Lepisosteus oculatus: one gene and its partners. Each later gene encodes a partner of the first gene's protein in a complex. Links are inferred from orthologs where the notes say so. Each region holds a gene or a part of one and is shown in the gene's direction. Other genes may lie near its edges.

Region 1 (11,512 bases):
CTAATGGATCCATCTAGCTGGCATATTTGGTTGCTAGTACGGTAGCCAAGCCAAATATCCCATTCAGGTGTTTCCCGAAAGATGTCAGGGTATCATCTTCAAAAGCATGGCTGGGCAGCTTGTTACAGACCCCTGCCACACTCTGTGTAAAGAACTGCCTCTGTTCTCAGTTTTCGAAGCACTTCCTTATACTTTTCATGCTTCACTCTTGATTCTGAAGGGGTCGACTGGGTGTTAAGTTTCAGTGCCATTGAGAGTTTTGAATAACTGCCTCTCTGCTCAAGGATTCAGCTCTTTTAAACTGCCTGCGTGGGGCGTGCCTTTAAACCGAGGAGGTAACGTATCTGTCTGCTGCTACCGCGGACGTGAGCTCCCAGCTTATGGTGTCCAGTGTGTAAGCCGAAGCTCTGTTTTAGGAAATGCCATTAAACAAATAAAAGCACTTGTTAAGTATCTTAGCAAAAGCACGTTGAAGATGCATTTAACTGTGGCTTAAGTTCCCTTTATTGTAAAGTTGTGCAGCACTCACACACTACCAAAGCTATTTGTATTGTTTTATCTACTGCTTACATTTTATTATACAGATACATATGATATGTCTGTACCGATGCTGGTGTGTTCAGTTTTTAAGGATATTGTCTTACCTTTTTGTAACTCTAAGCTGCATGTTACAGTACCTTACTGACACTCAATGTATTCCCCTAATAATCTTGCAGTAGGGAAAATTGTGCTTTCAGGGAGTGTGGTATTAAGGCTGAAATTACCCCTCCAAATTATTGGTTGGCAGTTACAGTTACATTTTATGGCTCTCTGTGCTGGTTTTATGATTTGTTTTTTTTATCTCAAGATAAGAAAAGACAGACACTGGCAGCTGCAGATTATTATATCCCATAAATGAAAATGGACACCCTGCAGTAGGATTTTTATTATCATGAATTATTTAAAAACATTTAGTCAGAACTCCGGTCTGTTAACCTTACCAGTACCCACGGCATTGGGGCTTTGGTGATTTAATCATGACACTAAGAGTTTTGGAAACTTGTACATTTTATCATGGTACTGACATCATTGCTGTGTTTTTTTTTCCTTTTGAACATGCACGCGCTTTTTCAATAGAGTTTGTTTTTTTAACGCACATCAGCCCATACAATTCCAGGCAGCGGATCTGTGTGGAGGAAGGTTTGGATTAAGCTGATTACACCAGGGGAACAGGGCAGGCGAAAGTGATTGCAGGCATTAAAAAGCAACTCGTAGAAAATATCTACTGAATCGTTCCCAGCTCATACACGCAAATACTGAAATACCTATGAATCGGGACTAGCCAAACCAGAGGATTGACAGGGAGACTTCAAAATGCAGGCAGCACAGTGGTGGAGTGGTTGCAAAGCTGGGGCTGTGGGCTCCATTCTGGAGCTGGGATGCTATCTGTGTGGAGTTTGCATGTTCATTCCGTTTCTGCATGCCTTTCCTCCCACAGTCCATATATGGACTTCCTACCCAGGCATGCAGTAGGAAGCTGGTACTGTAGCAGGCCTGCATAACTCAGCACCACCCCTTTGCGACTGCACTAATGAATGAAGGGGGGTTTCAGTATGATATTTACTTAGAAATGTCAAGGCATCTAACAGAGGCCACCTTTTGACACAGGTTATGTGTGGGACATATTCAAGGGTGGAATGGGCTCGTGTTTGAGGTGATGAGGGGGTATTACTCCCCCCACGCAAACACGCTCTAAGTTTTTTTAAAATCTTCTCGCGTGGTGACGTCACCGGATTTAATTATCCTCCTGTGTACTTTGCACAAGGGGGCGGATTGTAATGGTTTAATGGAAGGGAAAAGGGACAAGAAGAAGACCACCTGTGTCCCAGCACATGCGTTAAGTCTGAATTTGAAGCGCGTTTCAGGAAAGGGGCTGTGAGAGAACGTTAAGGACGTTGTTTCCTTTATTTCCTGCAAAGACCCCCAGCCTCTCGCCGCGCCGAGACGCGACAGCTTCGGACCCCCGCGGGGGAGACCTTCCAGGCTGGACCGACGCCCACCGGGGGAGTGGGCAGACACTGAGTTCGCCCAAGGGAGAAATGGCTCCTTTTCTGAAACAAACAACAAGAAAGGAGACTTCTCTGTCACCACCGCTGCGCCCCGGTTGATTCTCTTCATGTTTGTTTTCTGAGCGCGTGTTACGGAGATCAATTTCTACCCCCAACGAGCACACATAGCACCCCTCCTGCTGACGGAGACTTGCAGCCTCCGCTCTGCCCGAGGCCTGGGTGCATTTTCATGCACAGCAGCCCGATATATATACGACTGCAAGCGGATGATCCCGTTTTAAAAGTACACCAATTCGAGATGGTTTCAATTAAATGCGCGGAAGTGACATTAGTCATGCGTAGTTCCCATCAACGATGTACTGTATAGCATCTACACTCTTGTTAAAACTATACAGCATCAGCCTTCTAGCCGTGAGGAGGGTGGCTGGGGGGGTTATTTTGGGGTTGTGGCCCCAGGTGACCCCTGACCCTGACAGAGACAGCTCTAACAAAGCGCTTGTCATTTGGATGCTTGTAACCGTGGGTTACTAATACTAAACCCTTTGTCTTAGAACCTGTCATAAGGTGTCTTCATGTCGACAGGATAGGATAGTTGGAAGGGAAGATAGGCAGAAGAGGGAGCTCATTTTTCTGGAGTTCCTCCCCAATCTGTTTTTAAAAAGAATTTAAAATCAAGATCCTTTGTGTATAGCATTTACTGTATGGTGCTCTTTTGTGCAGCATTAAAATTAACGCAGCCTGGGTGTTCCCTCCCTGTCTGTACAGCTGGTAACAATCGCATCCTTCTGCGTTGGCCTCTGTGATGTAAAACCTCCGATACTGCTTCTGCTGTGTTTGTGCCTGCTCCCTTCTGTGCTCGTCTTTTTGTTGCATACACAGCAGGACATTGTAAGATCAGAGGACTTTGCATATATAGTGTATACAGAATGTATGTCCTGATTCCGATAAAGTATTCAGAGCAACGGCCTAGCGCTGTTTCACAAGGATTGACAACACCGATGAATTAAGAGTACTGAATGGATTGTGGAGTGTTTTAGTCAACATTTTGGCTTAACCCACTTGGCTGAGGGCCAACCTCCTGGCCGGAGGACGAGGAGGCTGGGAGCCCCCTGCAGAGTGAGGGGTGACCCAGGGGCAGCTGCAGAGGGGGAGGTGGGGTGGAGGTGAGATGCAGAAAGACTTTCGTGAGGGAGAGAAGGGGGTCCCGTCCAGTATTTATAGTGTTTAGGAGAGGAAATGATGTCAGGGGTGATTGCTAATTACGGAGAGCCGAGTCAGACGGAACCTCCCTCCCGAACGTTCACAGAACCGCAGGTGAACAAGGGGTGGGAGAGCCGTGGGGTGCACACTGCCGGCCAGAAGGCATAGGGCAGGGGGGTCTGGAAGAGAGGCGAGATACAGTACTCCTGTGGATTCGGGGTTCAACCTGCGTGACTCTTGCCTCCTGCATCCTCTTGGGCTTCTGCCGTGCAGAGAGACGTGCAAACCTTTCCTGGGCAAGTGCAAAACTGTGCACGACCTCGGGACAAAGTGGTGCGGAGGATTTATTTCTGTTTGCCCGGGGAATTGGAAAGGTCCATCCAAGCAATTTGCTGCGGAAACGCCCCTCAAACCAGTCTCTCTTTTGGTATGGGAGTACTGTGCCCTTCCTGTTGCCCATTCCCTGCCCATCTCCAGTTGTCCTGCCTGTGCCCAGGACTGGAGCTAGGAATGCAGGATAAAGCACGTCTCTCTTTGCAAGTGATTAGAAAAATCTCCAAAGAAAGGAAAGGGAAACACTGCCGAACTCCTCACTTAGAGCATGCTTGAATGAATTCATTTCCAAGCTTAATGTCCTTTAACAGCATCCTCCGAATCAATCAGGGCTTAATGGCCCTCTTTGTCTATAACTCCTGGGGGTCTGGAATGTCGGAGCGAGGCTCAGAATGACAGGCCCTGAGCTCCAAGGTCACGACCTGTTTTTGTGAGCTCCCCGGCGACGCTGGGAATGAAGATGGATGGCGCACAGAGACGACCCTCCGGGTGACTCGTGTATCGGCTGGCTCTCTCTCTCGGCACTGGCCAAGGTGAACGGCTCGGGCTGTCCTTTCCCTGTTTTCACTAGGATGTCATCTCAAACAGCCCCTCATCTGTCCGCAGAGATAAGCCTGATGGGCGCTGCTAGCATGACGCCCAGGAACGGCAGAGCCTGTTCTCTCCAGTGCTGTTCAAACCAAATGTAACAGAGTTGATCCGATCAGTCCTTTGCTTTTTTGAAGATCCAGATTGTGTTTTTGTTTCTGGCACGCGTGCATGCAAAGATATGCAGAATGTAGGCTTTAAAACTAATAATGGTAGTTCCTTACCCTTATATACTGTAGCACTATTCTAAGCACTTCACTCAAAGCCCTTTACAGACAATGGAGATCCCCTCCACCACCTCCAGTGTGCAGCCCCACCTGGACGATGCACCAGTACTCTCCCCACACACCAGCTCTCAGTGGGGAGGAGAGCAGAGTGATGAAGCCAGTTCAGAGATGGGGATTATTAGGAGGCCATGATTGGTAAAGGCCAGGGGGAAATCTTGCCAACTCCCTGGGATTTTTAGTGACCATGGAGAGTCGGGACCCCAGTTCTACGGCACCTTTTTACAGTATAGTGTCCACATCAGTAAAGGACCCGCACAGACTGCAGGGTGAGCGCCCCCTACTGGCCTCTCTAACACCTCTTCCAGCAGCAGCCTTAGTTTCTCCCAGCAGGTCTCCCATCCAGGTACTGACCAGGCTCACACCTGCGGGGCTTCAGAGGGTCACCAGCTGGGAGCTGCAGGGTGACATGGCTGCTGGCTGCATGACTGCACGATGCACGTTTGATAAAATCACCCCTCCTAGAGAGGCACAATCCTCATTCAACTGTGTCTTCTGTTGCTGCCCCTGGTGACAGAAGTCACTTCCAAACTGAGGTCTTAGAGATAGAAAACTGGCTGGACTGCCGATTCTATAAGAGAAACAAGCGAGAGAGTTGAGACTGATACTGAACTAGAGCTGCCAATTTGCCTCCCAGAATGCCTAGGAAATCCCTGACGCTTGTGGGGCTTCTCAGTGCCCCAGTGAGAGCAATTAAAACCAGCCCACAGTTCATCCGGGCACTGAAATCAGGGGGGTATCCAGTAACTCTATCTTATAATTACAGGGGGAACAGCAGATCGGTTTCGACACACAGATGGATGGAGTGCTCCCTTGACACCTGGAACAAACAGCCTTTTCCTTCCTGGGGCACAGCCTGAAGTGACCCTTCGCCACTTTGAGATGGATTTCCTGGGCGGCTGTTGATCTCTCTTCCTTCTTCCCAGGACACCTGGCTTGACTACAGCACAGCAAACAGGATGTGCAGACTTCAAGAATAACGGTCTAATGAAGGGAGGTTTTTTTGTGCTTTTTTAAAAGATGAGGGTCTGAGGATTATCTGGTTTAAACCTAAACAGATCGATTAGGGTTTTTTAAGGTAGGCAGACTCCACAAACATACTGTAGTATGTTTTTGCAGTTTCATTTGGGAAGCTTTGATGAAACGAGAGAGCGCATAATGGGTAAGTGCTGCATTTGAGAAGCAGAGGTTCAGAAAGAAAGGATGCTAAGAACATGAGAAAGTTTACACATGAGAGGAGGCCATTCGGTGCAGAATGGCTTGGCAGTTAGTAGCTAATTGGTCCAAAGATCTCACCAAGCCATTTCTTGAAGGAAGCCAGTCTATCGGCTTCATCAGCATGGCCGGCGAGTTTGTTCCACACCCCTACCACCCTTTGCGCAAGGACGTGCCTCCTGTTTTCGGCTCTAAATGCCCTTTTACTAAAGAGCTCCAGAGAATGATCCGGGCTACACAATCGACACTATTGTCCAATCGCTGCTGAGTCTGCGCTACTGGGCGGGGCTAGGAGGCGGTGCCTGTGACGTATGAGAAGGCGAGAGGGCAGGAAAAGGGGCGGGGAATCTCGCTGCGCTTCCGGCTTCCCTCCCCCGCCCCCGGTGCTCGCGGGGTTTCTGCGGTACCAGCCGAGCCCTGAAAAAAGCGTGTGGTCCTGTGTAACAAAATTGACGATTCTGTTTTTTCAAAGAACATACTTCCCTAATGACCTATTAAAGAAGCATGTATGGTTGTTGGAGAGGTAAGGAAAAGGTTAAGCTGAGGTGTTTCCCAATTTAGGGCCGAGAATCTGGAATATTAATTGAGTTGTTTTGTTGAGTTGAGTTGTTTTCCGCTAATGAAATATAAAATAAAATTTCATTTTGCAGTCTGACTTGGGGGATATAATACTTCGGCTCTTTTGGCGATGAAGAGCGCCGGAAGAGAGGAAAGGACGCCCATCTTGGGATCGGCTTCGCGTCGTTCAGGTAAATTCAGGAAAAACGTTTCTTCGGCCGAGAAACCGACCGTTACAGCGCTCCTTGCGCGCGCGAGCGGCTCGCGACCGAGTGTGACGTTGAGTGTGACGTGTCGCCCGTCCGTTCCTCGTGCAACCCGCGGCGTTAAAGCCCTGCGCTTTACTGGCATCAAATAACAGTTTTGCGGGGGGGGTGCAAGGAGTGGAAAATTCCGTGTCTGTGGAATTCTCCAGGGAGCGGGAGAAAACAAAACGAGTAGACTTGCCTTACTCTTTTATTGGATATTCCACCCGGGGCCGGGAAGTGCAGCTCCGACTGCCCCAGGGCAACGTTACTGCAGTGGAACAGGAAATGACCGTTTTAAGGGTCTTCACATACATCCCCAAATCCCCTGAGCACTGTGATCTCATTCGCCGATGAATCCAGCTTTGGTCTTGGCCTGCTCAATTATGAACATGAATATTGAAATAAATCTACCATCGGTCTTATCCTCACTCTGCACTGGGACTGTGAAGCGCAGGACTGCTGGAGCCCTGTCCAGTAATGAGCCAGAGATTCTGTACCTTGCAGGACGGTTTCTGGTGGACGTCAAGGAGAAAGACGCCGTTCTGTTCTCCCTTTAAAGAGCAGAAACCAAAAATGGGTTTTGCAACCAAACAAGGCCACTGGGGTGTAGGTTAATAATAGTAATGTTTCTTTATTAGCCCTATACAATTTCTTGCATTAGGAATTCGTCTTTTCGCATACCCCAGCTTTTCTCCAAGGAGACACAGACACACAGACAGGGAGAGAAGCTGGGGGTCAGAGCGCAGGGTCTGCCATTGTAAGGCACCCCTGGAGCAGTTGGGGTTAAGGGCCTTGCTCAGGGGCCCAACGGAGTAGGATTCCTCTGCCGGTGAAGAGACAGCAGTGAACACTGGGTCTGGGGGGTGGGCTCCAGTCCCCCAGGGGAGACGCCACCAGCCGCTGAGGGCTCTCAGCCAGGTTTGGAACCCCTAGGAACGAATCGGGTCTAAACGAGTCAGAAAAGGAAAATGCTGCTGGTTGAAGCCATTCTGTATGGGAGTTCCTCCTCCTGGGCGGAATATTGATTTCTTCCCCAAAAAAAGGTGATTTGCTAAAAGCATTAGAAGCCAAATTTGCCGTTTTTAATGTGCATAATGTTATTATTCCAGTGCATCATAAAACGTTCAAGGAAGGCACTGGGCGTTGAGCGTGGCTTTTCTGAGCCCTCTGTCCCTTGAAGGACCGCGTACAGAGGCGCACAGCTCACACCTCTCCTAATAGGTGCCGTACAGTCTGGTCTTTGAAGATTAGCTCGGCGGATTGAAAGAACACCTCGATTCTTTTGTCATCAGCCAGGAGCATTTAATAATTAAATGGCAGGGGGTTCTTTCTTTGAAACGAAGAGACAAAATTAGATCTGAAAACGCTGGCGCGAGCCATCATCTCCATGTGAATAAAAGACGCCACCATCAAAGCCGCAAAAGACTGTCTCAATTATATATGAACCCTTGAAGCCAGGCTGTGATGTGCCTAACAGTAGAAAGTATAAATTGCACAGTGGCAGTGGAAGGCTTGTCAGAAAGCAGCTCTCGGCAAGGGGCAGCAGTCAGGTTTAACTCGAGCTACACATTTCAGAGCATGCATGTTTGCAGATTTGCTCTTATCCTTTTCCCCTTGTTTTAGTGCCCGAGTTCCCTTGGACTGGCTGACGTCCTGGGAGTTCTCCAAAGTAACACACAGGGTTTCGGATCCATGGGGGCCTGCAGGAAGAGTGCAGGTGATTAAAGACAGGGGTCAGTTAAGTCTTTTGACTTGAGTTTCGATTAAACCAGGCAGGCTTTCTTCTCGCAGCTCACTGGGAGAGATGGGATTGCTGCTGACGGATTGTGGGGTCTGGGTGTTAACTGAAGTTCCAAGGAGGAATTTCACCAGCCAACTCCGAGTACCCGATCGGGTAGTTCGGAGACCGGGAGTTTTCAATAGTACAGGAAGCAGCAGTGGATGCCGAAAAATGCATTGCTGGGGCATAGGCGTTGGTGATAAAAATATGATTGAATTTATAAGATTAAATCTAGGTATAAAAGTTATGTTGTATAATAATCACAGATTTAATAACTGGATTTCAAATTAGAACAACTGACCTTTTGTTTTTTAATTTAAAATATATATTTTTTAACGGCTCATAATAATAGATCTAATTAAGTACACACAGGTGCCTCACATGCTATGATGCTTTAACGTTTTCCAGTAAAGCAGGACAATATATTTGCAGAATGTGGGGTCTGTTAATCTGTGAAAATATCTTGCATGGGTGGATGTTCAGCAAGTTCTCTTGTCACTCAATCCACCAGGGAGTGCACTTTGAGATTCGGCTTGGTGGACAATAGTAGGTATCCTGAGGAATTAGACACAGTGCTTCAGCTAGAGGGCTGATCAGAAGTGCATACAGTGGTACTGGCAGTGTGCCTGGCACACACACATGTACTGTGCTTGTGCTTTACATTGCAGCTAATTTAGGTAGAGGCAGAATGCTACCTTAAAACCATGACTGACAGTCTAGGGGTCCTGCAGTTGTGTGGCTCTTGCATGGGTCTTGGCTAGAAAAGGTTGCACTGGGCCTGATCCAAGCAAACACACCAGCCCCTGCCCCCCCACTGCCTGGCACCAGCTGGCTGCTATTCACTCTCGAATGCCCCCCAGGGTTGTGAAAATGTATAGAGTCTGGGCCAATATTATATTACCGTGAATGTGCTCACTGTGCTGCCAAGAGCAGAGCAGAGAGAAATCAGGGCACTGAGTCAGATCCCCAGCATTTCTGAACCATTTCTTAGCCACAACGAGCCTTGTGTTCTTGTTGTCCATGTGGACCGTTTTCAAGGACTTTGCAGGTTGCAAATAAGCACACTTGTCATCAGGAGCCCGGCGGGGTCTTGCCTGGCCTTCAGAGTCTCGGAGCCAGATCTTGACACCAGAAGAGGAAAAAGGCTGGCTAGCGAGTGATCTGAGCTCCACAGTCATGTGGCGGTGTGGCTGAGTGAGCAAAGCCTTTATTCTGCTCTGATAGCAATGCACGTGAAAGGTTTCAGACCCAAGAAAGTTGTGAGGCCGAACTTTGAACCTTAGCTCAGCCCATATGGACAACATTTAACCATTGACACATTAATGTTTTGAATCTCGGTTTTCAGTTGCACGTATGCAAACTTATGGGCTTCAAAATAATTGTATGGTTATGCTCGCTGGGAAACAGGAAACGGGATTTCAATCCTAATGGCACTTCCACAAATCACTTTCTGGTCAAAGCTTGACACACGAGAATGTTTCTTCACAAAATATGCACCCTGTATCCCTGCAGGAAATAACATGTAATTATATCGTCCAGTTTTCAGGTGGTGATTGACTGATGTAATTGTGGACGGAAAGATACTTCCAGTCTCTGTTCTTCTGCAGCGCACTGAGGAGATCCTCTTACAGGGGGGGGATATCTGTATCTGTCTAGTAGAGAATCATACCGTTTCACTTCTCCCTGCTCCCATGGGAATGCGCCATAGGACACAGGAGCCAGGCGTCCAGTCGTGCTAATCATTCCTAATGATGGTGAATTGAGGAAGTGTGTAAGCTGAGCCCAGGCAGAAGGAATGCTGGTAGCGGGTGCTGGGAGGTCAGGAACCGCCTGCAGAAAGCAGGGGACTTAGAGATGACTGGAAAATGAGTGAAAGGGTGGCAGAGAAACATGGGAGGAAGCTCCGATCGGAGGAGTGAGGATCGCTAGAGTGAGAGAGCTAGTGCTGAAGAACAGCTTGAGCTTCTCAAGGAGTGACGGGCATGTGGGCTTTCCCCTGTTTCTGCATGTTGACATTTATAAACGCAGCTTTTTATTTCTGTTCAGGTGTTTTGTTTGCAGAAAGTGGTTTCAACCTTTGATCGATTAGTCGCGTGGGTAACTAAATTTTTGCGTCTCTCATTTGAATGCAAAACTAATTTTGATTGGGTCTCCTACTCAGCTAAGAGTGATGGGTAAAGAATTCAAGTGTTTTTCAACCAGATTTTTTTCTGCTTTACAAAAGAGGAATTCAAAAGTCAAATTACTGGACACATTAATTTTCCCACACCCAGTAATTTGTCCCTATCCAGACCCTGCGTTCTGAATTTCAAGCATGAGAAAGGGGGCATGTGGCTCACTAAAATTCCCGATGGGAATCTCTTTTATTGATGAGTCTGCTGTAAATAATATATGAAGACATTAAAATGCGCAGCTGACTGGACAGATCAGTCTCGGAAGGGCTGACGCTTTCTTCCCAGGCCTTGGTGGTGACCAGGTCAGCAGCAGTTGCTGACTGTTTCTGGGAGAGGAGGTTGTGCAGCTATCTCAGGAAAGGGCATTTAGTACAAGTTTAACTCGGATCCCTCAGACTTCTCCTGTTGTATTGCACCTGCCTTTACAAACCACGGGATCTTCTGAAAGTGATTGACTCTAACATCCAGTTTTGAGTGAGGTCCTACGTGGCTGAGATTGTTTTTCTGTGGGGTGAAACCTCGGGGGAAAAAAATCACTTTAAGAGGCAGTGTACTTAATTTGGACAAAGACTAGACAAATCAAACAATATTTTAATGATTACAGTATGCACTATTTCTATCTGCATGGTAGCAATGCAATACGCATGCAATAGTTGGAAGAATTTGTAGCGATCTCAGGGCTGAAATTAGGAAAGCAGTTTTCATTTGGTTCATTTCAGCAGTGCTGTGCAGCCGACCCTAAATGGCTTTTAGAGGCATGTCTGGATTGTCTTGGGAGCGTCACAGGTAGCTGCAGGGGAAACGGGAAAAGTGGAGGCAGTGCCTCTCACTGTTGTGACATGTACACCTGGACAGGTTTGCAAGTTGTTTGCATATAAACGATTCTGCAAAGTGTTTGTTCCTTATCGGAAATACAAATTTGTCTCACGTCCTTTGTTTTGAGATTGCTCCTTTTTTTCTTAATAACTTTCATAAAACTTGTCAGTCTTGTGATTTCACTTATAGAAGGGTGAAGATTAACTGTGATCATTTTCAAAAGCGTGGGAGTGCTGCATGGTTCCCACACATCATTGTAATCCATGCG
Region 2 (10,666 bases), on another chromosome or scaffold:
GTTACATTATCAAGCTGCTGATATGAGCACAGCAAGCACAGCATGAACCCTAGAGCGCACTGCTTCAATGATCTATGATAAAATGACCTCCAGTGGGATTTGGATCCTTCCCCATTACAAGGCAACAAGGAAGTTTTCTTTTCAAAGTTGCAACTGCCTAAGTTAGTCTATGTCAGGATTTTTACAAATGTACATGTGTCTTTATTCTGATGGAACTGTAAAGGAAACACATCTCTCAGACCATTAGTTATAGCATGTTGTACTCTTCCTGTCCTCACATCCTCTCTTTTCCCCATGCCTCTGTCCCCAGATTATGCTGAGCCGGATCTCATAGCAGCAGGACAGAAGCTGGGCTCCACTTTCCGTCCTGCGGCTGATGAGGGCTACACAATCCCACTCATCCTGAACCATTACGACGTCCCGGGGAAAATCCACGAATACGCTGAGCCCCTGCCCCCCGAGCCTGAATATGCCACCCCCTTCAGCGAGCAGTCTGCAGACCTTTTCGCCGCGGGCCCCAAGAAGAACATCTGTGTGATCCGAGTGGTGCCCCCAGCACAGGCTCCTAGGCCCTTCGTGAGCCAAGAGCCGTCCAATGACTCTCCCATGGAGCCTCAGTATGACCGGCCAGCACAGCAAGGACATAGCGGCTACTGCACTCCCCAGACCTCTGCCAATGGCCCACGTAAAGCCAGCGTGGTATATGCTGAGCCACAACCAGCGTGCCATGTGCCCAGCGACTCCCATGGCCACATGTATCACGAGCCATTGTGATGACAGCACGTTGAGTAATGGACCAATCTGGCTTGATGTGCTGTACCTTCAAATGTGCTGTAATACCACAGCCTTGCTGATCACTTACTGCCACTCCTGTGATCTGGAAGGAATTGATAAGAGAGGTGCAGCGAGTATCCTCACCGATACTGATAACATGAATACACTGACTCAATCAGAGAGCAGTGAAGGTCCCTTTAGTAGGCCACAGTCACACAATATGTTACTGTTATACTTTATTTTAAGGATCCACTATAAGACTCCCTTTGATCACCAATCACAGACAGGAGTTCAATAACTCCGGTGTACAGTATCTGTGAAAGGAGGCACACAATGAAATTTGTATTAAGCAACCATTTGACTATAATGGCACATCATGGCCATTGGTTAAAAGATACTTGTTCATCATAAACATTGAACAAATGCCTTGTTCAGTTAAGTGTCAGGGTTTTCAAAAAGCATACAAGAGTTTTTGTATTACAGTTTTGTGCCATAATAAGGCCATGTTAAGCTTTTGTAATTCGTGGATCACCACAATAATGTTCTCATTTAATCCCCAGCTTTGTGGCAGTAGAGAACACCTAGAATACAATTGAGAGCAGACAGGTCCAGACTGGAAGAGGAGGATTCCAGTAGTTCACAAAGGTGTCTTTGAATTTGCACTTGCTTGTTAAGTACAGCCAGTCGATGTTGTGGAGCCTCAAGGATTGGAGTGGAGAAGGTCTGTGCCAAGCATTTCCATGAAACGGTACCAATGTTGTACCGAAGCATGTCAGAAAAGCCAAAAACAAAACCATGCACACTGGCCTGTCAGGCCTGCAGGCTGGTCTGGTTCTTTGCAGATTGAACTTTGGGGAGCCTCTATGGAACACATTTCATAAGATCTTGGGCAATATGGGTCGTACAGCACAAGTGCTAGGAATTACTCAACAAAAGTATAATGAAGTGCTTCAGATATCCAAATCACATTTCATATGTGCCCATTTTAAACACCATAAACTTTCATTTATATTTTTTTGAGCATCAATCCCAGGTATGAGAGATTACTGCAATCCCATTTTGAAACTTTTTTTTATCTCGAATATTATTGAACACAGTACAAAATGAAGGGAAAGATTGAGGCTGAGCTGCAATAAAATGTGTTTTTTTTTTTAATCTCACTGCACACTGCACTTACAACATTTACACTTGAATTGGACACACGGGCAAGAGTGTGCACTTTCTGGCCTTGCAGAAAAAAAAAATGAAATATAAAAAATAAATCTCAATGACTTACGAGCAAATTGTGAGATTGTTTGATCTTTTTTTAAACAAAAATATGGTTTTGAAAACAATTTTCTGTTCTTATTAAAAATAAATGACTCAGTGTGTGAAGCTATTTTTAAGATGATGTAACCCTCAACACACCTAATTTCCCCACTCTTTTTGTGCATGTTCTGTGGAGTTATATATGACTAAGAGTTTGCTCTGTGCTTCAACAAAGTGATGAGATTATTATAAAACTTGTTGCATTCATCTCCAGAGCCCAGAGGCACTCTTTAATTTGTTTGCTGTGGCCATACCTTTCGTACATTTAATAGTAACCCCAGAGAAACAGATCTTAACTAGTCTCTAAAACGCACTGTCCAGATATGAAAACATGGATAACAGCTAATAAGGTTTAGTAGCACCTTGGGCAGATTCCATTCTGCAGAAGGAAAAGAAAAGGAGAAAACAGAAAAGGACAAGTCTGAATTTGGACTCATTGAACACTGCCAGAAACAACTTCAGGTTTTGTAGTCTTTCATATCCGTCCACAGCAGAAATTTCAGGATGGCGGTAGCGACGCTGTTTGTTATTGAAATCCCATGCTAAAAATGACACGGTGCTTTTGAGGGGGATATTTTGGGAGGCTAAATTTTACACATCCCTTAGTAATCATGAGAAATAACACTTTGTTGGAAGCAGTATGATTCGTAAGAAAATATCATTAAAAATCGGCAAAGTACTGCAGAGGGTGGAGAAGTCAGCACAGCTCATCACCGACTGAGAGCTACCAAACATCCAGGATATCTACTCAGCTAGATGTCTTAGGACGTCCAGGTCCATTCCTGGGGACCCCAGTCATCCCAGCTTCTACCTCCTGGCAATAAGACTGCTAAATAGCTAAGCTGCAGTTTCTTCAGGAAACCATGGACATGGACATACAGTTTTTATTGTATTTGGCATACTGCACTACTTGGACATAAAGTATTGCATACACCCTGGACATATAGCAGTTCTGTTTATATTGAGTTTATCTTATTCAATTTCTATTGCACGATTAGGATTTAACTTTATTTTGTAACTTTTTTAGCCCCACCCAGTGAGCTCGTAGAAAAGACATTTCATTACCAGCAATTAATAATAATAATAATCGCTTACACTTATATAGCACTTTTCTGGACACTCCACTAAAGGCGCTTTACAGGTAATGGGGACTCCCCTCCACCACCACCAGTGTGCAGCCCCACCTGGATGATGCGACGGCAGCCATAGTGCGCCAGAACACTCACCACACAACAGCTCTCAGTGGGGAGGAGAGCAGAGTAATGAAGCCAATTCATAGAGGGGGATTATTAGGAGGCCAGGATTGGTAAGGGCCAATGGGAAATTTGGCCAGTACGCCAGGGTTACATCCCTACTCTTTTCGAGAAATGCCCTGGGATTTTTAACGAGCACAGAAAGTCAGGACCTCGGTTTTATGTCTCATTCAAAGGACGGCACCGTTTACAGTATAGTGTCTCCGTAACTATACTGGGGCATTAGGACCCACATGGACCGCAGGGTGAGCGCCCCCTGCTGGCCCCACTAACACCTCTTCCAGCAGCAACCTTAGTTTTTCCCAGGAGGTCTCTCATCCAGGTACTGACCAGGCTCACACCTGCTGAGCTTCAGTTGGTTGCCAGTTGTGAGGTGCAGGGTGATATGGCTGCTGGCTACTTATTGCTGCATGCTGTATTTTTGTGCATTTGATAAACTTTGATTGATTGAAAAGAGTAGGGGTATCCCTGGCATCCTGGCCAATTCATACATGAGGAGTATTAGGAGGTCTCCCATTCTGTGAACTGGCTTAATCTCTGCTCTCCTCCCCATTGATAGCTGGTGTGTGGTAAACATACTGGTGCACTATGGCTGCCATCACATTATTCAAGTGGGGCTGCACATTGGTGGAGGGGAGTCCCCATTACTGTAAAGTGCTTTGAGTAGAGTCTCCAAAAAGTGCTATGTAAGTGTTAGGAATTATTATTATTATTATTTATTTGGACTGTAGGAGGAAACCAGAGCGACCTGAGAAAACCAACTAGTGAAAACCCACACAAACATGGGAAAAACATTCAAATTTCATGCAGTTAGCACCCTAAGACCGGAATTCTACCAAATACCCTGTGCTGCTATACAGAGAAATAGCATTTAGCAGTCCGTTAACTTTTTAACTTGAATATTTAATAAGTAGTATAGTGTATATCTACTAAGCATCATTTTAGAAAACTTCAATTTTTATCGGTTGAAATTAGTTGAGGAAGATCTGTTTCTACGTGCACGTGCGTATGTCGACACCCTGTGGTTAAGCAGCAAAGCGTCTCACATCACAAATATTGACGCTCCACAACTACATATAATTAACGACACGACTTCCATCTGTTTTTAACACAATAATGTAGGGCGCCAAGAATATCGATCATCAGCAGCCCAGAATCACAAAAATTGTGCTTCCGAAATCTCTTGATATCGATTCCGCAGAGACGGGGCGAGATCCCCACCCCGTCCCTGTGCAATTCACAGCACAAGCCCTTTTTACCGAATGCATCCGCAGGTGGAGTAGCCTTGTCCTTGCATGAGTAAGCGGTTTGCGGTGACTATTGTGCGAGAGCTCAAAACTAGTGTTCCTATCACACTGTATGCAAAACAACTATTTGTAGATACAGCTGTTGAAGCCAAAACGGCGTTTTCTTAAATACTGCCATTTCTATATCATTGTTAAAAAAAAAACGAAGAAGAGTTGTATGCAAATATGGAGGCATCATGGGATACCATACAATTCTGAGGCGGGGCTTCAGTCAAGATTGTCGGTCGCACAGTATCAGTGAACGTTTAAACTATCATTTTTGTGATCCTGTTATATTTGTTAGTAATGTTGATCATTTTAAGAACTACAACTATGAAGACTAGCAGCGATAACTTAGTATTAATAGTATAAAAATAATATAAATATATTATTAAGTATAAGAATTCTTAAGAATAAGTATTCTTATCCCTTCTTGTTCATCAGGGGATAATTATTTGCTTAATTATCATGAGACACTGTTAATAAATATATTAATTATGGAATCTCAATATTTTTTTATTTGCACTGTTTCATTTTGCAATCACCCAAATTGCAGATATGATTTATTTCCTCTGACAAAAATAAAGTAATAAAATGTAGTTCTACTTAGTTTGCACGTTAGTTTGGTTCAGTAACAAGTAACATGTAAGGCCTGTCTTGTCTCAAAATGATCTGTTGATTCTGGTCCAGTTTGCAACACTATGTCCAGGAAACCTCCTAGTTCTTTAGAAACAAGGGGAATTTTAGCTTGTTTATTAAACAGTTTATCTTTTCCGGCGGAGTCTTCCAAGGGCACTTAAGGGGAGTTCTAATCACTCGCAGTTCAGTTTGAAATAAGTTCCAAGAAACAACCGTTTTCTTTGTAACACTATAAACTATATCACATTAGAATCAGAACATGTATTCTGTTTTTTGTTTTGATTGGATGTCTAATTCAGAGGATATAAAAAGAGACGTGGAAAGAAAGGTTGACAATGCCTGGTTTAACACGAAATCAAGGACATCAAAGAGTAAAGACCAGGAGAATGCAGCGTACAAACAATCACACTTAAAACTAAAACTATTTCCAATAGTATGTGTGAAGAGTACATCATCGATAATATAGCGAAAAAAGCACCGTAGTAATTTCTTCTGGTTACAGGATACAGCCTTAACGCCCGCCATTAACCAATCAGAATGGACGTTAGGGAGGTCAAGTGGCACCGGAAGTAATTCCGGAGAGACAGGAAGTTGGTTCAAAGAAACACAAAGCTGATACTGGGAGTCACGGTGTTCGACGTCGGTGGCATCTAAATAATCTAAAAGCCAGAAATAAGGCGTGAAACATGGGGAGATAGAGTTGAGATTGGAATGTAAGTTATATTCGAATTCAGAAGTGAATCCGTGTGCACTGCGGACGGCGGGAAACGTTTGGAAAATTACTTTTAAGTAGATACAAGTTAACCGTCTATTCGAAATAGCGGACCCCGTGTTTATTTCGGCTTCATAAGGAGCGTAATGCCTCCTTCCTTTTTAAAATTATGTAAAAAGTCTAACATTTGGCGTTGTAAAAATGTCTGTTTGACGTGTTTCGTGCTTTACTCAGTTCGCATGATCGGAGCTGTCTCAGTCCGGTTTGGTTATAGGTTTGACAGTAGAAGAATCAGTAGAAACATTAAATACACAGGACCGATGTGTGACGGACGATTTGGAGATCTTGATTAATTTTGTCCGCTGGTATGTGGGAGAAATAAATAGTTTTATTTGTCGAGACTACCGTAACGTAAACCACTATTTCGAACAAATTTACAATGCATCGCACATTTCTTAGATGTCAAAGGAACGCCACTTTTTTGGCAATCCTTCAGTAATGGGGAGAATTGTTCAATTAAAACCTATCGCTGTCTTTGTGCATGTATGCCTCTTTTGTGTATTGCAGTTTTAATTTGGATGTTATTTTCGTAGATGTTTCTATGATGTATGTCGTCTTTACCACTTCTGGTTGGACAAGCTTATCGGTCCGTTATTACTGTTGAGAAACGTGAGTTTTACCGTGTTCGTCGTTGCAATTAGGCTCCACTTTGACATCGAGAGAATTATTTTCCATTTCAGCTAATTTAAACAATAGAAGTAAAATGCTTTAGGGATGTTTCACCCAAATGACCAATAATACACTTGATATCGTATGTTGATTATTTTTCTCTCTTTTACTTTTTATGAGTACAGGTGGTACACACTGCTACTTCCAGAGTTCTCTCTTATTGCTTGTAATGTTGTCCGTTTAAGGGAAGGTAAATACTGGTAGACTGTAGTTACTGTACATGTTGGAGTAGCAGCTCTCCAAATCAGTTCTTCGGGGTTTCCAGTTGAGCTTTTAAATATTTTTTAGGAACTATTTTCAAATACCATCGGTGCATTTGAAAAGGTGTTATTTGTAAGGTAACTAGTTTCAAAGTTAGACTTCAGAGCCGTAAAACAACTGTTCTTAACCCCAGCCCTCGCGGAATGTCTTTGTAGCATTGCTTTGGTTTGCATTTAGCTTGCTGGAGCAGCATCAGGAGGGCTACAGTTAGGATCTAGTTTCAACTGAAATATTTTTTAAAGAGGCCCTGTGAGTTGAGAGTCTTAACTTGTTTCACTGATTAATTTAAAAAGATTAGTTAGGTGCCAGGAATGTATCACCAAGCAGACCTCAGACAGAACAATGGCAGATTGGAGGGCTGCTTGTATGTTACTTAAACAGTTGGGTTAAGAGATAAGGTTTAAAATATGGTGATATAAACATGACCCCCACATCACCACCACCAAAGGCAAACTAGCTGTGTGTTGCCAGTGTCATGCAGTAGCATTCCTGCGTGATTCTTAGAACAGGAGCAGAGACATGTCGCTGAAGGGTCTCTACTCTTATGTAGCCTTTCATATACCTGTGTGCTGTTCTGGCATTGACAGTGCAGTGACAGTAACATGCTGTTTGTTTCCAGGTACAGTAGCATGTGGAAATGGCCTCCCCTATTACTGGGCCTTCAGCTGTAGCTGATGTTATTAGGGATCTAGACACTCAGATAGCAGTAAGTACAGTAGCTGTGTGAGCTGACCTTTGCTGTGTGAGGTTGCTGTGAGTGCAGCATCAGCTTACAATGCATAACTCACTCACTTGGCCCAAGCATACAGTATGTTCTACCTGGTTATCTTTGTAGGATGCATTTATATTCATTATTCACTCTTGTTGTTTTAACAGCCAAACAGTTTTCAAAATTATTGATTCTCTGGAATCAGTGCAGAGGAGAACAATAGATGTGTTCTTGGATTTAGAGGAATGTTCTACTCCAGGTAAAAAAAAAACTTCATCGTTTTAGTTATGACCAGTGAAGACTAAGCAAGGTCTTGGCACAAATATTCAAAATCAAGAAATGCATTGACAAAGCCATCTAAGTGCACACCTTCATGATTTTCAGGTGATTCTGAAGGTGATACCCTGGCTTCATTCAACAAACAACTGTATGGTTTGTTGGACCTTGGAATGGTTATCTATTAGTGAGCCTACCAAGCAAGACAAAGGGGCCAATAGTAACCTCTCATTTGTAGTTTTATGTAGGTTTATTTGTGTGTTTGAGCAGAAAGTTCAAAGGTCTCTTCCTTAAGTTATTCTGTATTCTTGTAAGATATTTATAGCAATTATAAGGTATTTGTGGCATTTAAAATTATTTATAAAACAGATTGATCGTGTATTGTTAGTAGTTCAAGTGGGTAGCTGCGTCAGAATGCGTATGCTGCAAAGGAACAAGTAATAGGTTTATTCCATGCTGAAAAGAGAAGGCGGCTCCACACACCTAAAGAAGGCTCCATGGCCAAAACGTTGTTTTCTTTCTTTTTTTTCAGCATGGAATAAACCTATTACTTGCTTATTTATTGTAAAGGTCTGTTAAGTGAACAGCTTTCACCAGCAACCTCCTGTCTACTTTAATCCTGCCTTACTAAATGGCAACAGTAGTTTTGTTATTTTCTTGTTAGGAAATTTGGCAGCAATTTTTTGAAAGACATTCGACTCATGCGGTGACCTGTTGATGAGGTCATTTAATTTCTGATGACTATTTGCCAACCGTAAAGAAAATGTTTCCTTCCAGTGTCACGTGTTCACAGGGTAGTGCTGTCATAGCTCTGAAAAACTCTTCTTTATTGGGCTTCAGAATGGTCACACCAGCTATGAAAATCTTCTCTTATGCCTGGTTACTTTTATTTCTTATTGTATTGTTTCTCAAGACTCCAGCATGAGTTTTTAAGGATCCCACTATACACAATAGGAACACCAACTTCCACCCACACATTATTCTACTAAAGAGTATGTTTTTACTCTTTATATACTCCCCAACACTGCAAAATGCTGACATGCTACACTGCCCTGCTTTCTTAGTTAATCACTGCCCCCTGCTGCTTTAGACCAGCTTGTCTTTAAACCTATGTAATGTTTCTGGGAAGCCTCAGACCTTCCCATTTTTAAACCAAGATATATCACTGTTTACAGATTTTTTTTTTCATTTTTAATTGCAGCTGATTGGACCTGGTCCTTACAACTCCAAACAGCTTCAAGACCTCGAGAAACTTCATGATCTAAAGGCCAAAGCCCAGCAGATTATGACCCAGTACCAGCCACAGGCTTTAACCAACCTTTCTAACTTCTCCACCACTGTGAAAGCCGAGCCCTCTGCCACCCCTCCTCTCTCCACCAGCATGGCCAATAGCACTGCAGCTGTGGTACCGGGCAAAGTCCCAAATACCCAGGTACCTGGAAGACTGAGCCCCGAGGGCACACAGGTACCCCTTCCCAGTCTGTTATCACTGCTTAATGTGTTACGCATGGATTTTGATACTTCTCTGCCATGGTTTTTGTGTGTGTAGGGGGATTCTAATTTCTTCTATCTTTCTGGCAGCCTTCAGATTAAGTTCCTTAACATATCATTATTTGCCAGGAAGTGATCCACTGGCATATTTAAAAATGGCCAGATGAGGTTCTCAAATGTTTAAGCCACTGTGTAACAGGACAGACATGACAGACAGGAATCTCTCTTCTGGCTCATGATGATGTTGCATTGTTTTTGTATGTCTTGGAAATTATTTTTTAGGCATTAACCCACTATCAAATTTCAGTGTTCTGTACTAGAAAAGGCTAGAGAACTGTCCCTGCATCTTTTTCCTGAGCCTTTTTATAGTATGTAGTCACAAAGTGACAATGAGGAGCATCTGCAGTTGGATGAGTAAGCTGTGCTTGTGTCCTACATCCAGGTGCTTAGCAAGAAGAAGCTGCAGGACCTGGTTAGAGAGATTGACCCCAACGAGCAGCTGGATGAAGATGTGGAGGAGGTGAGTCCCATCCATGTGCCTGTGTAAGACTAGTTTCAGACAAAGTTGTAAGATTGCATGTGTTAGCAGTCAGGTTTCATTAAAGTTGGTTTCTTTTGTGGTGATGGTGGAGCTGAAAAGTCTTGGTATATTAATAGTGATAATAGTTGCATACACTTATATACAGCTTTTTTGGACATTCCACTTAAAGCACTTTACAAGTTATGGGGACTCTCCTCCACCACCACCAATGTGCAGCATCCACCTGGATGATGTGATGGCAGCCATGGTGCGCCACAATGCTCACCACACATCAGCTCTCAGTGGGGAGGAGTGATGAAGCCAATTCATAGATGGGGATTATTAGGAGGCCATGATATGATTGGTAAAGGCCAATGGGACGTATGGCCAGGATACTGGGGTAAAAACCCTACTCTTTTCAAGAAAGGACCTGGGATTTTTAATGACCACAGAGAGTCAAGACCTCGGTTTTACGTCTCATCCAAAGGACAGTGCCTTTTTACAGTATAGTGTCCCTGTCACTGTACTGGGGCATTAGGACCCACACAGACTGCAGGGCGAGTGCCCCCTACTTGCCCCACCAACACCTCTTCCAGCAGTAACCTTAGGTCTCACATCCAGGCTCACACCTGCTTAACTTCATTCAGATGCTCCCTTTGCTTTCACTGCATCTTATTGTGTTTTTGATTTTCCTTGGTCTTTAATGCT
Region 3 (10,692 bases), on another chromosome or scaffold:
AGACAAGATTTTTGAGAATCTGTGAGTACTGAAATGTCTCAGTCCGCAAGAAAGCCATGTTTTGCGCTGTATGAGCAGTGGAAAAATGGACATTATTGATTATGTGGATATTTCAGATGTTTCTTTAAAACTGTTCATTTTGTTTTTTTCTGCATCTTAAATGTAACTTTTAGAATCAAGCAACAGAAAGGAATCAAACCAAAAAAAAGAGTCAAGCACCTGCAGTGATTCCAGAAAACGGCGTGGGAATATAGAGGTTTACCTTTTTTTCGTTTAATCACCAGGTTGGTGTTGACACACTAGTTTATTCTTTCCAGGAGGTGAGGAATTAGGCGGAGTGTGAAGAAAAAGGACAAGTGTTACATTACTACCCCCTCCTCTCAAAAAACAAAACAAAACACATTTTTTTCTTAATTCCTCCAAAAATTATTAACCTCACCAGAGTGCGTTCCAGAGTTCAATTGTAAGAGGGTTTGGTTTTGTTCTCCTAATTGTTCTTTTTTGTTGTTGCCTTCATCAGCCTCTTCTCGTTCTATGAAAAAGGGGGAAAAATCTGAATAGCCAAGAAAAAGTTTCCCACAGTCACTGGCCACAGAAGCACACCATTGTGTTTTCTGTACTCCCTAGCTTGATGGACAACATTTCTATAAACGGGGAGCTGTTCTGTCAATGCATTCTTGCAGAAAAGGCAAAGGGAGAGACAGATTCTGCCAATATCTGACAATGCATGTTAACACACACACATACACACAAAAGTCTCGGCATTCACACTGGCAGCTGTCTCTCAGACCTTCACAACACAGGTGTTTTTTTTTCTTTTACCAAGTTAACCATTTTTTCCACTGAAGCAAAGCATGTGCAGCGATACCTGAGGAAGAGCATGCCAGACAGACCGATGAGGCCTGTGTCATACCTATATCCCTGCTGTCGGTTGCTAAACACCACAGCAGACAACAGTAAGGACATAACCAGCCATTCACAGCGCTGAAAATAATCAAACTACTCTTTTGTTCGTCCTGATTCAAGAAAAAGGAAACTAGACTCAATATGGAAATACAACACTGCTCAAAACAATGTGATTTGTGTGCCAGTAATGTTTACAAAACTTGATTTTATCACCAGCTGGAAGCATTTGACGAGTGTATTAACACTGGCTTCCTGGTTGGAGTTTAAAACTGCATAATAAATATTTTACATGTCCTGCAGCAGGGGTTCCCAATCCTGGTCTTAGAGACCCACACACCTGCAGGCTTTCCTTCCAGCTGAGCTCACAGTTTGATAATTGAGCCCTTAATTGACTAATAATTAGATTAACTTGAATCTTTCATTGTTTTCAATGTGCCTAAACACATTGTCAACGGGCTTTTAAATATGCCTTTAGATATTGACTGCTTTACTGTTTCGTTATCTAAAAAATCTAAACAAATATTTTATTCAGTTTCATAAGGAACTGAAGGTCTCTAGCTTTTGCAATGAAAACAAAAACATTCACAGGTTCCAATCACATAAACATAAAAAAAAGTTCAGGTAAGGATTCAATCAAGTAATAAACTGGACTAGATTTAACACCTGCAGGTCTGAAATTCCCCTTTTACAACAGGAACCCTTTTATGACAAGTAAGGAAATATTTCTACTTCCAGATCTTAACATTTAAGGAATATTTTGCCAAAAAAATAAAGGAATAATAATAGACACTTATATAAGGACTGTCTTCTCTCCTTAGGATGAAATAGTATTAAACATCAGAAATCAGCTAAGTTAACATGAAAGGAATTGTCTTTTTTTCTGTCCAGTTGTTAGCAGCATGGCATCATTATTTTCTGTTTACTTTTTCGGCTTGGCTTTTAAGTCAATAACCACATGTAAATTACTAAGACAATATAATCTTTCCCATTTTTAGTGTTCAAAATCATTTGCATTTTGGATGTAGTGCTGTCGCAGTTCAGTGAACGAGCTGACTCTCCAGCTTCTCCAATTTGTATCACAGTTTTCATCTAAAATGTTTCGGTTGTGGACAACAAAGAGCATACATCCATGGTCATTAGGAATCTATTCCTTTTTCTCTTTTTCTGACATTGTTGGCCATAGAAACTCACTGACAGTTAATTACCATGGAAACAGCAGTAATGACTACTTCATTTTTGTTCTCTTTTCTTACATTCATTCTTCTTGGAAAAAAAAAACGGATTTTGGTAAAATGACTCAACGGACATTTTTTACAGCCCAAAACAGCATCCTGAGGTGCGCTGGAGGAGAATTTTACTACATTGCCTTAGTCTGGTGATAATCTTCTAGCATGCTAAAGAGGTTGGTACAACAATTCAGTACCTAACATCTGTGCCCCCACATAAAAAAAACACTGTATTTTTTAATTTATTCCATTCTTCTCTATTTCTACAAGCTGTTTGAAGGACAGATTCAAGTCTCTCCTTTATTCTGTAATATTCCTAGAGAATGTGCTTCAGTTGGCTCTCTCACTCCTCTACCTTGACAGGCCTTTCATTAATAAACCTTGCCAGCAGCTTTCTTGTGCTACTATTAACCTGAAAACCATTAAATGGAACCCCCAAGTCCCAGGTTTCTCTTTGTATGCAGGCTTCCACAGATAAGGACCTGAGGAACAGAAAGCCTTTTCCTCCCTTTGCCCTCAGCAGTGTCTCTTTTTTAATTAGCTGTTTCCACAAAAGCCCAAGAACAATAAGTCAAAATGATAAAAAAAACAATGCATGACACCATTAGACGCGGAACACCAAAGCTCGACTGTACCGACAGCAGAACATTAAAGCCCCCTTTTAAAAGTATGCCTTCTTAATGTATTCAGCAACTGACACTGTATCACATTTTCCCAGGGCTCCTGTAGTTTTCTGCACTTCTTAACTCACTGCTTCCTTCTTCTTCTTTCCAGCCCCTCTGTTTCCTTTGACATTACTGGGAAGTCTGTGGATTTTAGCTTTTTTTCTTTACATTAGGGCTGGGAGGGTGTGGGGGGGGGGTGTTGAAGGAAAAAACAATCCTAACCTTTTTCTTTGTTTCTAAAACATGAAAGCAGACATCTGATCTATGACTGTTGCAAAACGCCACTTCAATAACATAACATTTTAAAAATATAACTCCCCCAGCGGGTATTTGAAAAATGTATGTGTTCAAATATTGAAGTAAAGAAAACGAGTGTGCTTTAAATAACTTCAAATTGTTTGAAATGCAACATTGTTATATATTCATTGGAGAATACTAGGGTATCTTTCTCGTTAGACCAGGCTGGTTGTGCAAACAAATGTTCCCATCATGAATATTACCAGCCTGAGCCATGTTCTAACATCACATCAGAGTTTTAGCCAGATGTGGAAATTCACACCAATAATTAAGTGGAACATAACCGAGTGTGGTGCATTTCCCCTAATTTCTTCATTGTTAGCCGTGAACTGGTGCCGTAATGGTGTGTTCTGGAGGAAGCACTGTCCTTTGCTTGCCAAAACCCTTTTGTTGTGTCTTTTCAGGCACAAGGGAAGATATTTTCCATTGAAGAGGAAAATGTGTAGTACGTTTACACTGAAACCTTGGGAAACATTTGTTTTACAAAAACGCATAGCAGTCAAATTAATTCATCTTTAAAATCAATTTGTTTTAGAAACTATGGTTTTAATGTTTCATTTTAAATAAAAAAATGTTGTTTTTTTTCTGGCAAGTCTGTCTCTTCAGCCAAATAGAATATTGTTATAACAGCCTGTTATAATATCAGGTCACACAACATTAGGTATGCTATTTAATGGAATTAAAGCTAATTGTTTTTCTTCTTGTATAGATACAATAAAGGCTCTCCCTCCTTTACTGAAGTATTATAACCCCATATACAGCTGCACAAAAACTGGGATTCCCTTCTGCACTTATGTGCTACACTGTGAAAAAGGGGTATCACTCACTTACACACATTGTGAATTTAATCATATTTTCCTTTTAATAGAACACAACATTAATATGTGGATATGCCCTTCAAATTATACCCTCATAAAAGAAAGTCATTCTCTCCCTTGTATAAGCAGGAGAAACATATTTATTTATCTGTTTTCTTATGATTAAATAATCATAAGAAATGTACCCACATGTAACAATTATGGAACTATTTGCCTTAAAGAATGCATGGAATTAATAAATATGGTCAAAATAGAATAATGACTATTATAGCTCCTTTTTTTCTAGCTTTTCTCCCCCATTCTCTCCCCTAATGGTATTTTCATTGCCATCCATACAATTCCCTTTGGAAAAGAAAATAACTTTTTTTCCCACACAAAAAAACATTGGGTGGTTGAGTGCTACCAGAATCCTCCTTGTAAAACTTTATGTTCTTATGTGACACCTCTCACCATGTTGCTGTACAACCTTCTAGTTTTATCCGAACGTCTGAGAGAGGCTCCTTCATGTTTCTAACTGGAGCCTGCATTGTTGGTTATTCTTCCAGCCTGTTCATTCTGATATGACCTTTCTTACAGAACCACTGAAGAATTCCAAAAACCTCTGGACTGCACAATCAAATGGCTCATATCTGATCGGATGTGAGCTGTTTCACTCAATAACAGTATATTTCAACAAAAATAATATATTGAATTTTTTTAGCTTAGTATCATTTTGAATAGGTGGACCTATTCCTTTCCCCTATTTTCATGTGTACATCCAATGACATTTTTGCCAACTGATTTTTTTTATGGTGGTAAAATTACAGTCACTCTATTCTTTAAAGATTACAGACTACAACCTCATGCAGTTAAACAGGGTATGAAGAAAAAGATAGTGATTGGGCCATAATGCCAAAAGTAACTTTTAGATATTTTCAATAGTTTGCATTCAGAGAAGAAGTAAAGAATCTACGCATTTTGGGCAAAAACAGATTGTTCTCTAGATGAAGGCATCCTAACTTTCAGACTACATGGTTTGAAATCCAGTAGGATTTTTTTATTATTATTATTATTATTAACATCTGCTTAAGGCTCAGGGGATTTAAAGGGTTGCTCCTTTAACACTTTATTGGATCGATCCAGCAGTCCTACAAGGTGTACAGTTCTTTAAAACATAAAATGAGTCAGATTGCCGACTGGAGTTAAGAACACTTAAGTTAGGACATTCCATTATCGAGAATCGAAATCTTGGTATAAAATAAAAGCATTATTAATCTGATGAAAACAGTCGGAATTACAATAGTTAAAAAAGAACCGGACATTTTTGTGTAAATGCTAAAACGACTGACCACTAAAGTCCTGAGACAAATATAAATAACGTAAATCGCTTCACTTCACTTATTAGTACTTTAGCACTCTTTAAAATATACAGATTATTTTCTAATCTGAAAATCCAAATAGGAATAGAAATCCAACATATGCTTCAAATTATTATTGGTTACAGGGCAAGTTGGATATAAAGTTAATATATGAAAATTTGCATTTGTTTTATAAGTCAATTGTAAATGTTATGTTTTTTTATTTTTATTTATGCTTAACAAAAGAACAAACATTACAATACAAACAAGAGTACATATAACAATTCCAAACAAAAATATCGTCAGGGGTACATACTACTACATCAATTCAACTTATGAAAAAAGATTAAACAAATTAAATAAGAATAATGTTCGCACCGCTTTCATATTTTTGCATTTCGAAATAGTCAGCAAATACCTCTTCCATTTTAAAATGCTCAAACACAGGGTACCTCCCAGACCACTTCATTGTATGTATGTGAAATGTTATAAATGTTGATACTTATTTTTGCATTCACCTCCAAAACCTTCCCTCCCTGTCTTTCCACCAATAGCAGATGACTCTGGATTGATGTCACTCAAGCGCGACTTCGCTTCACTTAATCGACCAATCATCAGGCACGACGTTCAACTCCTGAGCCAAGGGTGTCATGGCTGATTCGGTGGAGACCAGTGCAGACAGTTGTGAAGGAGGCGACCAAAAGAAGAACGAGACAAGAACATCTCCTACAGGCACAGTTACAGAATGTCTTTGTGACATCTTCACTGCCTTGACCCAGTTTAGCGCAGAGGTTAGTGTAGAAGAACACGTACAAGTTAAATGTACTGCACTTATTAATTATTGTTGGGACTTGTAGCTAGCTTTCTGTTAAAAATAAAAGGTGGGTTTTAAGAGGTGTTTTGTGCTTCGGTACAGGTATCTGTAATCTTAAATGTTGCATAAGAAGGAATCTTGTCAGTAAGAACAATTAAGGTTTGCAGTTACTGTAACTGTGTTATATTTAACTTAGTTTGCTGTTTACTCATTTTAAACATGTGTTAACATTTTTTGAGTGTACACATATAATCTGTAGAGTACATATTGTAAAACGAACTACGTACGAGTGTATAACAGTTGCAGCCCCGCAGTAAAAGCCTCCATAACGTGTAAGTCTCCGTTGTTTAAACTACAGCTGTCATTAATCAATTGCTCACACTAAGACTGGACAACTGCTTCAATATTTTAAAAAAAGATATTGTCCGTGATCATAGGTTAGTTGCTATTCCGTTTTTAGAAAATCCAATATGACTTTAAAATATTTTGCAATAACGTTAGAACTCATGTGAAGCTCTTGCTGCAAAGTACGAAGCGCCTCGTTATGCGAATTTTATATGGTACTATTCTCTCCCTATTTGAGCTTAACTATTTTTTAATGAAAATGAATCAATGAAAGGGTACTGTACTTTGAAAATGTGAATGAACTAGTTTGTTCTGCAATTATATGGCACGTATTCAGTTCAGGGATGGCACGGTGGTGTACTTCTAAGCTTTGCTGCCTCGGTTCCGTTCCTATGATACTATTCAAGTGGAGTCTATTCTTTTGGTGTACCTTTCGTCCAGGTACTCTAGTTTCCTCCCACAGTCCAGAAACATACTGGTAAAAACTGGCTTTTGGAAAAAGTGGGCCTGGTGTGAGTGTGTTTCGTGTCTGTATGTGTCCTGTGATGGATCGGTATCCTGTCCAGGGTGTCTTGTGCCTGTTGCTCCGGCTCCCACATGACCCTTTATTGGATTAAGCGGTTAGAAAATTGAAGCACATGCAGTTAATTCTTCTTTTGTGGCAACAGGGAGGGTAAATCGATTAAGGAATAGTGTGGCACAGCTGGACAACAGAGGCCAGACAAGGCTGTCTTGGCTCTTGGGCTAAGTTCTGGACTGGGGCACCTTCTGTTTGGAGTTTGAATGTCTGTGTGGGGTTTCTCCAGGTGTCCTGGTTTCCTCCCACCTTCCAGAGACTGGAAGGCTATTTATGTATCTTCGCTGGCCCTGCATGCTTGTGTATGCCCTGTGAAATGTTCCGTCTTGCACCCTATGCTTCCAGGATAGGCTCTGTGCTGCCGGGCCCCTTGCTACGAATAAGTGGCTCTCCGATAATGGATTGATGAATTATATTAAATAACCGAGCTAGGGTTTATTTTGTGAAAAGGCAACAAACTTCTGGAAACTGCCTCCCTACAATTTAGATTTTTTTTCCCTTCGTTATTCTTTGATGTAATATGGCAAGCCAATTTGAATGTGTTTTAAAGGGTGCTTCACTGCTGACTGGCTTTGTCATCTGGGTTTTAATTAAAGAGTAAATAGGTTAAACAATGGAGCAGCATAGTGGCCCGATAGCTAGCTTGCTGCTTTGCTGCACTGGGGCCCTGGGTTTAATTCCAGACCTTTCTGGAATTCTGGTTTCTGTGTTCTCCTGGTTTGCGTGGGTATCTTCTGAGTGCTCCGATTTCCTCCCAGTGTCCAGAGGCATGATATTAGCTTAATTGGCTTCTGGGGAAAATTGCCCCCTGGCGGAGGGGTGGGTTTGTGGCTAAGGATCTGCGTGTGTGGCTGGAAGGTTGCTGGTTCAAATCCCGCGGCCAGCAGAGGAATCCTACTCCGTTGGGCCCCTGAGCAAGGCTCTTAACCCCAGCTGCTCCAGGGGCGCTGTACAATGGCTGACCCTGCGCTCTGACCCCAAGCTTCTCTCCCTGTCTGTGCATCTCATGGAGAGCAAGCTGGGGTATGTGAAAAGACGAATTCCTAATGCAAGAAATTGTATATGGCTAATACAGTGATCTTATCTCTAGTGTCAGTCTGTCTGTGTGTGCCCAGCGATAGACTAGCATCCCGACTAGGGTTTATCCTGCCTTGCGCCAGTTGCTTATTGGGATAGGCTCTGGTACAACTGCTTACAAGTACTGGATAAAGTGATTCAGAAGGAAGGATGGTTAAACCATGTCTTGGTTAAAAGTCTTCATAACAAGCAACGGTGTTTCAACAGTTAACAGACATCTTCAGCTTCCAAAACAAAATCCTGTCTTGTGTTGTGGTGATGAGGCAGACATGGTGATGATATAAACCCATCTTTCTTCATGGGTTTCACATAATACCTGTGGGAAGCATATTTGTTATGATAGGATATATTACCTAAGTGCACCAGTTCTGTATTTTTTGGGGAAAAAAGCTAATTGGAAAATAGAAGGCTGAACTCCAGCAGGACTAAGGCATTGAGTAGTACTAAAACAATTTGGCATATTGACTGATGCACATGCACTTCCCTGTCTTTTTCAAGGTTAATTTAGGAGCTGATGTATTACAAATTGTCGCAGACCAAAGCAAGCTGCAGTTCTCTTCAGCTACTCAGCCGGCACAGCTGTACAATTCCATTCAGCGTCACATTTCCAAATTACAGGTAAGAAATCAACACATTTAAGATTTTTTGTTGCTAGTTAAATTATAATGTAAACTCTCTTTTCTCCTCATAAATGGGGCATCAGTGTGTAAATTGTTCTACAAATGTAGATTAAAACTATATTTTGTCTTTTTTTGTTTACTACATCATTTTGAAACATGTGGGTGTTTCAGGATTTCAAAAGTATTTGGAAAAAAATTCTGATTTGTAATTTAATTAGAAAGTAAGAGAATAAAGATAGTTATAATGATAGGTGGCAATACCCTGGCCAGTTAGGTAGTTCGTAGCTAATTGCTCCAAGGATCTTATTCAGCCAATTCTCAAAAGAAGCTTGGTTATTGACTTTAAACCCATAACCAAAACCTACACAACCCTTTGGGTTAAGAAGTGTCATCGGTTCTCAGTTGTAAATTATATTTATCATAGTTCTTGAATTTGATTAGACTGAATATTTCATTTTTTACAGGTTTTTTTTTAGCATTATAGTTTAAGCTTATCATGCTTACAGTGGTGTGAAAACGTGTTTGCCCCCTTCCTGATTTCTTTTTTTTTTTGCATGTTTGTCACACTGAAATGTTTCAGATCATCAAACAAATTGAAATATTAGACAAAGATTACACAAGTAAACACAAAATGCAGTTTTTAAATGAAGGTTTTTATTATTAAGGGAAAAAAAATCCAAACCTACATGGCCCTTTGTGAAAAAGTGATTGCCCCCCCTGTTAAAACATAAATCAACTGTGGTTTATCACATCTTTGGAAAGCTGAGTTCAATTTCTCTAGCCACACCCAAGCCTGATTACTGCCACACCTGTTCTCAATCAAGAAATCACTTAAATAGGACCTGCCTGACAAAGTGAAGTAGACCAAAAGATCCTCAAAAGCTAGACATCATGCTGCGATCCAAAGAAATTCAGGAACAAATGAGAAACAGGGTAATTGAGATTTATCAGTCTGGAAAAGGTTATAAAGCAATTTCTAAAGCTTTGGGACTCCAGCAAACCATAGTGAGAGCCATTATCCACAAATGGCGAAAACATGGAACAGTGTTGAACCTTCCCAGGAGTGGCCGGCCGACCAAAATTACCCCAAGAGCGCAGCTACGACTCATCCAAGAGGTCAGAAAAAAACCCAACAACAACATCCAAAGAACTGCAGGCTTCACTTGCCTCAGTTAAGGTCAGTGTTCATGACTCCACCATAAGAAAGAGACTGGGCAAAAATGGCCTGCATTGCCGAGTTCCAAGACGAAAACCACTGCTGAGCAAAAAGAACATAAAGGCTCATCTCAGTTTTGCCAGATCCCCAAGACTTTTGGGAAAATACTCTGTGGACTGACAAGACAAAAGTTGAACTTTTTGGAAGGTGTGTGTCCCGTTACATCTGGCGTAATAGTAACACAGCATTTCAGAAAAGGAACATCATACCAACAGTAAAATATGGTGTGATGTCTGGGGCTGTTTTGTTGCTTCAGGACCTGGAAGACTTGCTGTGGTAAATGGAACCATGAATTCTGCTGTCTACCAAAAAATCCTGAAGGAGATTGTCCGGCCATCTGTTCGTGACCTCAAGCTGAAGCGCACTTGGGTTCTGCAGCAGGACAATGATCCAAAACACACCAGCAAGTCCACCTCTGAATGGCTTAAGAAAAACAAAATGCAGACTTTGGAGTGGCCTAGTCAAAGTCCTGTCCTGAATCCGATTGAGATGTTGTGGCATGACCTTAAAAAAGCGGTTAAGGCTCGAAAACCCTCCAATGTGGCTGAATTACAACAATTCTGCAAAGATGAGTGGGCCAAAATTCCTCCACAGCGCTGTAAAAGACTCATTGCCAGTTATCGCAAACGCTTGATTGCAGTTGTTGCTGCTAAGGGTGGCCCAGCCAGTTATTAGGTTTAGGGGGCAATCACTTTTTCACACAGGGCCATGTAGGTTTGGATTTTTTTTCCCCTTAATAATAAAAACCTTCATTTAAAAACTGCATTTTGAGTTTACTTGTGTTATCTTTGTCT

Evidence for each region. Proteins that work in one complex are often made in the same cells at the same time.
Region 2: tada2a (region 1) and taf12 share a complex: the UniProt entries of both Homo sapiens proteins name them as parts of the PCAF complex. The link is inferred for Lepisosteus oculatus from reciprocal best matches to the Homo sapiens genes TADA2A and TAF12.
Region 3: tada2a (region 1) and mbip share a complex: the UniProt entries of both Homo sapiens proteins name them as parts of the ADA2A-containing complex. The link is inferred for Lepisosteus oculatus from reciprocal best matches to the Homo sapiens genes TADA2A and MBIP.

What each region holds. Positions count from the first base shown.
Region 1 is NC_090721.1:9,404,955-9,416,466, forward strand, and holds the start of tada2a (transcriptional adapter 2-alpha), read left to right. Parts: upstream 1-6,025; 5' UTR 6,026-6,191; intron 6,192-6,318; 5' UTR 6,319-6,417; intron 6,418-8,097; exon of another isoform or gene 8,098-8,191; intron 8,192-11,512. UniProt on the Homo sapiens protein: Component of the ATAC complex, a complex with histone acetyltransferase activity on histones H3 and H4. Required for the function of some acidic activation domains, which activate transcription from a distant site. Binds double-stranded DNA.
Region 2 is NC_090706.1:5,801,467-5,812,132, reverse strand, and holds the start of taf12 (transcription initiation factor TFIID subunit 12), read left to right. Parts: upstream 1-5,842; 5' UTR 5,843-5,973; intron 5,974-6,565; exon of another isoform or gene 6,566-6,641; intron 6,642-7,581; 5' UTR 7,582-7,599; coding exon 7,600-7,668; intron 7,669-7,838; exon of another isoform or gene 7,839-7,930; intron 7,931-9,148; coding exon 9,149-9,412; intron 9,413-9,880; coding exon 9,881-9,958; intron 9,959-10,666. Other genes in the region: discoidin, CUB and LCCL domain-containing protein 1, read left to right, coding at 311-774. UniProt on the Homo sapiens protein: The TFIID basal transcription factor complex plays a major role in the initiation of RNA polymerase II (Pol II)-dependent transcription.
Region 3 is NC_090703.1:22,282,856-22,293,547, forward strand, and holds the start of mbip (MAP3K12-binding inhibitory protein 1), read left to right. Parts: upstream 1-5,868; 5' UTR 5,869-5,899; coding exon 5,900-6,040; intron 6,041-8,560; coding exon 8,561-8,680; intron 8,681-10,692. UniProt on the Homo sapiens protein: Inhibits the MAP3K12 activity to induce the activation of the JNK/SAPK pathway. Component of the ATAC complex, a complex with histone acetyltransferase activity on histones H3 and H4.